Nothobranchius furzeri: one gene and its partners. The protein of the gene in region 3 interacts with the protein of the main gene of each other region in a pairwise test. Links are inferred from orthologs where the notes say so. Each region holds a gene or a part of one and is shown on either strand. Other genes may lie near its edges.

Region 1 (3,754 bases), on a different chromosome or scaffold from region 3:
AAAGTATTATTGATTTGTCTTTTAATGTCTTGTAATATTGTTTATTAGTGTCCTGATATTCACAATCACCAGCACCATTCTCTACTTTTGACTACTTTGTTTAACGATACATTCCTAATATGTTCTTATAAAACAGTAAGTAAATGTAACAAACCATTTGATGGCAAAATAAAAACAAATATCCACACTTTATATTCCTGTAACCACAAGGTCTTTTTCATTACTTTTGGTCACATTATAAAGGGAATTCTTGTGGGATTTGTTCAGATGTGTGAATATTAGAATATGTGTTGCTGATGAAGTGTAAATGTAAATGGAACCAGAACTTCCCAGTAAAATTCTGAAGATGCAAGGAAGACCTCCACATTCCTCAAAATTTGTTTTCACCGAGAAAGCAACAGTTGTTTCATACTGCCCAAAGAAAAACTAAAAGGTTCTTGTCATGAGCACAATGCACACAGATGCATCTCTGAGCACAAGAGAAGACAAAAAAACCACAAATGATCCTGGACTACAACTCCACCAAAGGAGGAGTAGACAATCTTGACAAAGTCACAGCAACATACAGCTGCCAGCGCAAAACAGCTCGTTGGCCCTTGGTGATTTTCTACAACACTGTGGATGTGTCAGCTTATAATGCCTTTGTCCTGTGGACTGAAATCAACCAACATTGGAATGTCGGCAAACTGTACTGACGTCGGCTTTTCCTGGAAGATCTGGGCAAAAGTCTTGTCACCCCCGAGATCCAGAGGCGAGCCAGACCAGCTCGATCCCCAGCAGCAGCAGCTATCATTGAAAAGGTCAGGTCTGCATCATCTGACCAATCTACAATGGATCCAGTGGATACAGGTGCAAAGAAACGAAAAAGATGCCAGGTGTGTCCCTCACGAGAAGACATTAAAACAAGCACCGTTTGTGAGAAGTGCAAGAAGTACATTTGCAGAAAGCACACAGTTACACTCTGTCCATCATATGGACAACACTGAAAATGTTGAACATTGACAATCTGAGAAAAAGAAAAGTGTTTGTAAAGAAGGAAAACTTTTACTAACTAGTTCTTATAAATAGTTCTGGATATTCAAACTTTATTGTATGTCTGTGTTTTAAATGTTTTTTTTTCTAATGGAAAATAAAGTTCCTGTTGTTTTATTGCAGTTTTTTTACAGTTCTAAGTGAATTTAGACTGGGTGGGTCAAAATGACCAGCAAACATAGCCAATGTGATTTTTTTTTTCAAAAAATTTCAAGGGTTAAAAAATGCTTCCAGATTGTGTTTATTTATTTGTTCTGCTGTCAGCTGTGTTTTCTTTATGTTAATTTGTTTTATTTGTCGGGGCTAGACCCAGACAAAGACTGACTTATTTTATCAGCATGGTGGGTTTATGAAGATCCAGTCCCATGAATTCAAATCTAAAATGCATTTCTGTGAAAAGTGTCCACTTTTTTCTTTTGATAGAAAATTATTATTGAGGGGAACAAATGTTTTGTGTCAGACTCCAGATAACAATCTGGTTTAGAGTAAATAGTGCTAACTGAAACTGACCCTGATTTAAACAGAAACGGCTGCACTGAGGTGATCCCGGTTAATTTAATATTTTAATATTACATTCTCTGGTTTTAGGTTTTTACCTTTTTAAAAGAAAAATATTCAACTGTGAGATTTAGTTTTCTGACATTTGTAGGTAATTTCTGGTGAGAAGGAATGATGAATAAAATCAAAGGAAACAAATGACTGACAGCCAAGATCAAGCCTCATGTCTCCTGCAGTCTCTAATAATTCACTAAAACATAAATGTCAGACAAGGACCTAATCAGTGCCATAAATAGGCTCGATTTGAAAACACGGAGGGACGACTGATTCCCTGTGGAATGAAAATAGATGCGGGATATATAGTTGTCCTTTAAAACGTGCGTGACCCAGAACGCGCACAAGCATGCGGACTTAAACTCCGAGGCATCTGTCGCTACCGGGATGTAAATCTACCTCTGAGCTCCGTGACCCACATGGAGGACAAAAACAAGCCCGGGGACGTATCCCGAGGAGTCTGGACCCCCTGTTCTAGAGACATACCCGGAGCGGAGGTGGTGAGGGGGGGGGAGGTGGAGGAGGAGGAATAAACTCACCAGTAAAGCAGAGACAACCCATCGAAGCGCTCCGCGTCCTGAGGGAGGAATGGCATCGCACCCCGGTGTCTGTTAGCGCAGGAAAAATGCCAACACACACATAAAACAGGGACTCTCTCACACACACGCGCGCTCGCGAGAGGCTGTCGCAGAAGGTTGAGAGAAGGGATGAGAGGAGACAGCGGTGGAGGTTCAAATCGGGTCGGTGCGCCGAGCAGAGCGGAGAGGGATGGAAATCCGCCCCGACAGGGAGACGCGCGCTTACCTTTACCCGCTAATCCATCCTGATACCCGTCCGTCACACACACACGCGCGCGCACGCACACACACACACACACACACACACACACACACACACACACACACACACACTGCAGAGGATGAATTTTGAAGAAAAGCTTCGTTTTTCTTTCAGCTGAGACACGGCGCAGCTTAAAGTGTTTAAAAAGCCAAGTCAGTTTTTATTTGTCTGACACAAAACCAGGCTGAGAGTCGTGCTGGTGGAGGTTCATGAGATTAAAACTAGCGCTGGGACTTGATTAAAAATTTTAATCTAATTCATTAGAGGCTTTGTAAGTAATTAATCTAAATTAATCGCATTTTAATCGTTCAGGAAAATGTGCTCTCAAAGCAAAACTTTTAATGAAAATTATGAGACAGAGAATCAAACATTAGACAAGGTTATTACTGTAAACTAAAGCTTTTAATAAAAAATAATGCATTTTAATTATTCAAATGTCACTGTGTGATATGAAACAAGACCCAAATCAACTAAAATTTATAATTACAAATAGAAAACACCTGCAAAGGGATCCTGAGCCTTTAAATAGTCTCTCTGTCTAGTTGAATTACTGAAATAAATTTGACTTTGCACCAGATTCTAATTTTTCCAGTTTCACTTGTTTGTTTAATTGGGAGTTTTTATTAGCATTTCTACTCATAATGCAGTAAAAAAAAACACATATAAATAATAATCCTTCAAAATTACAGTAGAGCAGGCACAAATATGATCTAGGACTTAAATGTACTAACTTTTAACACCAGAGCAGGCGTGACATATTCTGAGAATGATCAGGAACACTAACTGGTTCCAGTTGGATGACTGGAGGATGATGGGAAGATAAAAGTTCATGGCGAGGAAATAATGATCTGACTAACAGGTGAGCAGACCTTCCTTATATGGGAAGTCCTGCTGTCACGTTAAGAAGGGGATGCTGCAGATTCACGCCTGCAGCAGCGAATCTGGTGTGATCTCCAGCCTGATCACAACTTTCTCGTTCCTCGCTGCCCCTGATACACTTATCTGCCCCTAAGCGGATGACAGCTTCAACACACCTGCTGCTTAATGATAGTAATGCATTTGATGTTTAGACAGTGACTCGTCTCAGAAACATATAATTCCCCGGCAGAATAGTTCAGAAAATCATCAGAAAAGTTTCAGAGTGTTTCTGATTTCTGGTGCGACGAGCTACTTAATAGTCCTGAAAATACGGTACGTGAAAAATAGTGAAAACTTGCTCAAAGAAAAATATATTTTCATTAAGGAAATAACTTATAAACTTACCGATTTGATATATTTTTATTCACAGAAAGGTACTTCTCATGAAAAAGTGCCGCAAACCTCCACCTGA
Region 2 (3,232 bases), on a different chromosome or scaffold from region 3:
CATACACAAAAAATGCTGAAAACTAACTAGAAATTCACGAAAATTTTATAGAAATAAAATAATCTTGTTTATTGTCTTTGGTAATTTAAAACCTTTGGAAACTTTATTTAAGGATTATTTGTCATTTTTAAGGATTTTTAGGGCCTTAACTCATTCACTGCCATTGACGACTAAAGTAGCCATTTTAAATCCAACCGTTCACTGCCAATGACGACTTAAGTCGTCATTTGCATGTTTTTACTGTGCGGGCGTCGGAACGAGCCCCCACGTCGTGAGAACAAACATCCTAGCTCTGAAGCCGATCTTCATCCGCATACGTCACACGTCACGTGATCAGGAAGCAGAAAATCCGTGTGTTAGGAGATCGTTTTGGGCCGCTGTTGTAAAAAAAAGTGAGGCGTGGACCGGAAAAGCTTCTGCCGATCACAATTCAACAACGGATTATGAAAGAACAGATAATGCTCAAAACGCGCGGATTCTTCCTGAAGTAAGAGGTGTCTCCGCTTTGTTTTAGTTGTTTTGGCGTCAACATTATCCTAGCGCAACGTTCTGTCACTCTTAAAAAAACAGTAAAAACTGCGAGAAACGCTGGCAGCGAATGAGTTAAATGTGGAAAAGCAAATGTAAGACTTTTTAAGGACCTGCAGATACCCTGCCGGAAGAACGAATAAATGAATGCAAGTCAACGGGGCTAAAAACGCTATTTTCCAATCCGTTTTGCCTTACGCCCTGGATCGCACACATGTTATACTGCAATTTAAATGAAAAGTAATGATGGGTGTTTTGACCCCGCCAGTCACGTACTTTAATTTATTTACTTTGAGATTTATTAGCTTGTAAAAGTTTGTAATTAGCATCACTACAAACCAGAAATTGTCATGTTGCATATGTGACATCAACGCAGAATCTCCTCTCCCCAAAGTAACTGCTACTTACCAAATGACCAGATTCATGGTGGTTCTTTCCTCCTGTGGGAAGTTTGCTGAACTTACAGACCTTTTCCCTCAGTTTTCTCCATGTCTGGTTAGATGACGTCACTTTCATGAGGCGCATTTGTATTCCCATACTCATTTTCACACAAAACCTAAAATAGCGTTCCCCCATTTGAAAATAAGGGCGTTCTTGGTATGATGTCTGTGAATTTCAAAGACACACTTTGATCTGTGAAATCCATGGCGCAAAACAAGCGGGATTAGGAAATAGCGTTTTTAGCCCCGTTGACTTGCATAAATTTTTTTGTTAATCTGGAGACCCATGGTGTGGAAGAAGGTGGGTGTGCCTTCGGCTCCCTATTGGTACACGTCTCTGCCGAACTGAATGTTCCTTACTGAAAACTCCAAATCTGAATACATGTACTATTACACCCCAGATGTTTTTTGTACAACAAATGCTCCACAATATGAACATGTCATTATATCACCTAAACCACGACTAAACTAAAAAGAAATGCCAAGCAGAACAGAACATACCTTGAGTGTTCAGATAATAGTGTTTCCAAAGGGGTCGGAGTTTATGTTTTCCTCCTACATCCCAGATGGTGAATTTCAAGTTCTTATATTCTACAGTCTCCACATTAAAACCTTGAAACAGACCAGAAACAAGCTGGATTTAGGACAACATTTACTTGATCATACCGCCAGCCGATAAACCAAAACCCTTTACCTATAGTTGGGATGGGCTGCATGAACTCATCTTGCTTCAGCTTGAAGAGGATGGTGGTTTTCCCTGCTCCATCAAGTCCAAGAGTCACAACACGGATCTCCATTTTTGGACCAATGTGGACTCTATTATCCTAAAGAACAAAAGCAAGTTTTTAGAACTTTCATCTTTTTGTTCAATTCCGAGAGAACAGTAGGCCTAAGTAGTGGTGAAGAGGGAGCTGAGCCAGAAAGCCAGGCTCTCGATTTACCGGTCAATCTACATCTCAATCCTCACCTATGGTCATGAGCTTTGGGTAATGACCGAAAGAATGAGATCGCGGATACAAGCGGCCGAAATGAGTTTCCTCCGTAGGGTGGCCGGGCTCAGCCTTAGAGATAGGGTGAGGAGCTCGGACATTCGGGAGGGACTCGGAGTAGAACCGCTGCTCCTCCGGATCGAAAGGAGTCAGTTGAGGTGGTTTGGGCATCTGGTCAGGATGCCTCCTGGACGCCTCCCTGGGGAGGTGTTTTGGGCATGTCCTGCCAGCAGGAGGCCCCCAGGTCGACCCAGGACACGTTGGAGAGGTTACATCTCCAATCTGGTCCGGGAACGCCTTGGTTTCCTGCCGGAGGAACTGGTGGAGGTGGCTGGGGTGAGGACTGTCTGGAGCTCCCTAGTTGGGATGCTGCCCCCGCGACCCGGACCCGGATAAGCGGAGGAAGACGACGATAGTAGGCGGGGGTGGTTTGTACCTTAGTGAAGGTGACTGGGATGCCTGCATCCAGCTGAATGTGATCTGCGAGCTCAGTGAACTGGTGCTGCTGCTTCTGAAGTGTCTCCAGCAAACAGTTGATCTCCTGCTTTGCCAGCACAACTCTGCAGTCGTCCTACACCAAGAAAGAAGCAACACACATCAGACACCCTTACATACACACGAGCTTAAAGGTTTCATTCAGTTTAGAATAAATCTGCTGTGGTCTCTATAGGCAAGGCAGCTTTATTTGGCAAATGCAAATCAAAGTGTTTTACAGAAGTAAGAAGAGCAAACAGAAAATCAAACAAAGAAATGTAGACATTAAATTCAGATTTAACAAACAGATAAAAGGCATAGTCAAAAGGTTAGCAGTTACAGAGCAGAATGTGCAGCATAACAAACATTTATTCATAGGCTGATGAATACATGAAGGTATTTCATTTTGATTTAAAAGTCATTAGATTTGGGACACATTTGAGGTCATGAGGAAGCTAATTCCATCTGTGTGCAGTAGCGATGGGTGCCGAATTCGGTACTTTTTAAGGTACCGACCGAATTCCATAGTACCGACTGAGCACCGATTCATGCCATTTGAAACGGTGCCTCGTTTTGGTACCCGTCCTTCATAACGAGAACTTGCCTAGACAGCTGTGCATGCGCAAGAGCGTTTCGTTGGTCACTGCGAGCCAGTTGTAAGCAGAGCAGCATGGTAGAAAGAAAGCCCACTAAAGCTTGGGTCCACTTCACTAAATGTGATGGGTAACTGGGTGATGATGAAACCAACGACAACGATCTAAGTGAGACATCCTCATCTTAATCTGCTCCGGTAGGTAAATA
Region 3 (3,754 bases):
AGAGGTATGCTCCATCTCGGTCTCTTGGCTCAGCCGAGCAGGAACTTCTGGTGGTCCCCCGGTCGAAATATCGATCGAGGGGTTGTCGTGCTTTTTCTGATCTGGCTCCAACTCTGTGGAACGAATTGCCACTGAGCATTAGGCAGGCACCATCCCTTCACGTCTTTAAGTCTCGTTTAAAGACTCATTTTTATCTGATTGCATTTTAGCGCTAGGGTTCTTTGAATTGCCCTGACATTATGGTTTTAATTCTTCTTCTTTTTAACCCAGATGCTTGATTTTATTTTGTCCACCATTTGTTTTTGATCGATTCGTCTTATTTCCGTTATCTCTCTTTATTTGTAATAGTGCTTGCTTGATATTTTATGATTTTATGATTTTATCTTGCTTTTATGCCCATGTACTGGGAATGTTTTTCTTATGATGATGCTGTTCAGCACCTTGGGCTTCCGATAACGTTGTGGAAGGTGCTCTACAAATAAAATTTGATTGATTGATCTTTTCAGGCCGAGTTCTGACAGATTAACGCTCCAAGAGCCGTCAAATATAAATATACCTGCAACCTATTTTAGGGTCATTACTGACAAAGACGTACAAAGTGATATTAATTCAGCCACAACCTCGTGTCAGCAGTAGCTCAGGAGGTTGTTCAGTAAACGGAAGGTTGCCAGTTTGATCCCAGCTCCCACTAGAGAATGCTGCTGTTGTGTCCTTGGGCAAGACACTTAACCTGCCTTGCTGCTGGTGGTGGTCGGAGGGGCCGGTGGCGCCTGTGTTTGGCAGGCCTCGCCTCTGTCAGCTCGCCCCGGGGCAGCTGTGGCTCCTCATCACCAGCGTGTGATTGTGTTGTAAAGTGCCTGGGGGGTTGGGGGGGGGGGGGGGGACCCCAGGAGGGCGCTCTACAACTACATGCCATTTGAAGTGTTTCTACTTTAATTGATTAGACTTACAAAATTACTTTGGATACTGCAGATGAGTGACATAATTTTCATACTTTCTTTCATTCATTCGCTGTTTCAGGAGTACGTGACAACATTCAGCAGGCGACACTAAGCTTCCCACCTCTGGCAGTGTATCCACCCATGACGTAGATCAAACCCCGGCACTCACAGGCCGAGAACTCAGCCAGCGGGTCAGGCATCGAAGACACACACGTCCACCAGTCCTGTTCTGGACTGTAACACTCCACAGTGCCGAGACACTGGCCTCCCACGGCAAACAGCTTCCCTTGCACTGCCAGCAGCTTGAAGTTGGACCTGGATGAGATGACACAGAGGGTGAATGAAACAGGGCAGAAACAACAGTCGGGGACTGTGGGAGGAAAATGTACCTCTTCTGATTGAGCGGAGCCACCTGGTTCCACTCGTTCCTGCAGGGGTTGTAGCAGTGCACAGCAGAGATCTCCTGACTGGTCGTCCTGTACCCCCCCACTATGAACAGGTAGTTGTCCAGGACAGCAGACCCATACCCTCTCACGTTAACCATGTCTGGGGGCAGGTTGTTGGCCAGTGGTTTCCAGCGCTGCTCCACCTCTCCATACCTCAGCATGGACCAGGGCTCGTCCTGATCAGGACCGTCCAGCGACAGACAGGTAAAGTCTCCGATGGCCACCAGGGTGGCGGTCCCTTTCATGCGCATCTCTTTGACCTGGTCCCTGACAGCGGAAAGCAGGCTACTGAACTCAGGCCGCCTCAGCATGGGGTGATAGTAGCAGCTCATGTACTTCAGACAGGCGGTTCGCAGGTCATGAGTACCGTAGACTTCAGAGAGGCTGTAGAGCTCCACGCAGTTGTCCAGCCGGATCTCTGAGGTCAGCAGCTTGAGGATGGAGGTGACTTGTAGAAAGGAGGCGGTCTCTATCAGATCTTCCAGGGTCTCATTGACCACCTGGACTTTGGAGGTGTTGATGAACTCCAGAACCAGCTCCAGGCCCGTAACGCTGAGCCCCTGGAGCTGCACAGAGTCCTCAGTAGACTCCCTCATCCCGGAGTTGTAAAGCGCTCGGAAATAATCGCTTTTCTCGATCAACTTATTTTTGTTCACCTCGTAGGTCCTGTCGTCCACCACGATGGCGATTTGGTCTGAGGACATGTTGGAGACAGCTTCCAGAAAGACTTTACAGTTCACCAGCGCAGGAGCTCCGTGGCCGGGCTATATATGGTCATGTTCAGCCCATAAATCCAAACGGAGCTGCTCCTCTCATCCAGAGAAGCTAATCAGCTAACAAGCTGCTGCACCGACAAACCCGCCAAAGCGGCTCTTTCCTCGGGTTAGCATTCCTCGACAGTTCGGTCGAAAAGTGGATCTAGTTTATAAATATGTCAACTACATGTTGCAGTTTATTTTAGACCTTGATAGCGGCTCTTTTAACAAGAATTTCACAAGACCCTTGTGGGAACGGACTGTCAAATTTCCAGTGTTTTGATTCTGCGCTTCTTCGTGTAAATACGGTTGAGTCGAGCTGCTCATCCGCCCTACTGCCACCTGCAGGTCAGTCCTAGAATGGCGTCTAATCGGATTCATTTTAAAAACTATTTTATTTCATTTCCTGGAAACAAGAATAAACAAACAAAAGAAACAAAATTCACCTATTGTGCACAAAATAAAATAAAATAAAATAATTATATATATATATATATATATAATTTTATTTTGTGCACAAAATATAAAAAATGTATACATAAAATTACTCAAGTAAACCTATAATATTTAAAATTAAGAAATAAAATAGCTTCAGCTGTTCCGAATTATTTTGAAAACGGACAGTCTGAAATGAGTGAAACCAGTAAAATAGTAAATGAATTTAACAGTTTTTTTTCTAATGTGGGACCTGACTTGGCAAAAAACATTCCAAAAAGAACTAATTATAGTACAGGTGCAGGCCCGGAGTGGCTAATCGGGAGGGTCTGGAGAATTCCCGGTGGGCCGCGCGATGTTTGGGCCGCATGGGGCCGGTGCTCTCGTTTTTGTTTTTTATCATTTTATTTTTATTTTTTGGTGCCGGTGTTCAGTCATGGCACTGAGGCCGCCGGGCTGATCACATACGCTCCTCCCGGCTGTCTCTGGCTGGCTCTACCTGCAGGCTGCAGCTCGTTTTTTTTCCCCAGTATGCGCCTGTGCGCACCACGTGACCACGCAGTTGACGGAAAGATGGAAAGTAGAAAGAGCAAGGGTGGCGCGGAGAAGGCAAGAATTAAAAAGAGGAAAGCGTTGGAAACAGATGCAGCCAAGGCCGGATTAACCATATGGGCAACTGGGCAATTGACCAGGGCCCACGAAGGGCCCAGGCCAGCAAGCGCACGAGCAAAATACTGTAGGCATGTCTGTAATCTCCCGCATTATATTAAACTAGGGTGACCGTATGTCCGGTTTTCCCCGGACATGTCCACTTTTCACTCTCTGTCCGGGCGTCCGGACTGCGGGTTCTTGTATTGATGAAAATGTCCGGCTTTTCATCCAGGAGCAGGGATCGAATTATGGGGGAGCTGTATATCTTACACATCCAGGGGAGCCGGAAACAAGTTTTCTATCTATATTACATCATTTATGGACTCTTCTGAGCAGAGAGCACAAAGAGCGGCACAGCGCGTTATTGCGCAGCGATCCAGGCAGCTGCGTCCAGCGCACGGTCCATTCTCAAAGTGGCGCAACCAAAAAACTATAATTAGCACACGATCGTTCATGTCCGCACATATTCTCTATTTTCTGTCTTATTTGTGCCTGAAGCGCTCTGCTGCTGCGCAGCTCATCACCT

What was found.
Region 1: the proteins of klhl42 (region 3) and stxbp4 interact in a two-hybrid assay, tested with the Homo sapiens proteins (2 studies listed by BioGRID and IntAct). The two-hybrid records come from large-scale screens. The link is inferred for Nothobranchius furzeri from reciprocal best matches to the Homo sapiens genes KLHL42 and STXBP4.
Region 2: the proteins of klhl42 (region 3) and trim23 interact in binary tests that used the Homo sapiens proteins (3 or more experiments, as listed by UniProt). The two-hybrid records come from large-scale screens. The link is inferred for Nothobranchius furzeri from reciprocal best matches to the Homo sapiens genes KLHL42 and TRIM23.

Annotation. Positions count from the first base shown.
Region 1 is NC_091756.1:51,700,112-51,703,865, forward strand, and holds the start of stxbp4 (syntaxin-binding protein 4), read right to left. Parts: upstream 2,460-3,754; 5' UTR 2,180-2,459; coding exon 2,124-2,179; intron 1-2,123. UniProt on the Homo sapiens protein: Plays a role in the translocation of transport vesicles from the cytoplasm to the plasma membrane. Inhibits the translocation of SLC2A4 from intracellular vesicles to the plasma membrane by STX4A binding and preventing the interaction between STX4A and VAMP2.
Region 2 is NC_091746.1:63,277,179-63,280,410, forward strand, and holds part of trim23 (E3 ubiquitin-protein ligase TRIM23), read right to left. Parts: intron 2,529-3,232; coding exon 2,394-2,528; intron 1,793-2,393; coding exon 1,663-1,792; intron 1,581-1,662; coding exon 1,470-1,580; intron 1-1,469.
Region 3 is NC_091741.1:34,812,412-34,816,165, forward strand, and holds the start of klhl42 (kelch-like protein 42), read right to left. Parts: upstream 2,298-3,754; 5' UTR 2,092-2,297; coding exon 1,331-2,091; intron 1,257-1,330; coding exon 1,063-1,256; intron 1-1,062. UniProt on the Homo sapiens protein: Substrate-specific adapter of a BCR (BTB-CUL3-RBX1) E3 ubiquitin-protein ligase complex required for mitotic progression and cytokinesis. The BCR(KLHL42) E3 ubiquitin ligase complex mediates the ubiquitination and subsequent degradation of KATNA1.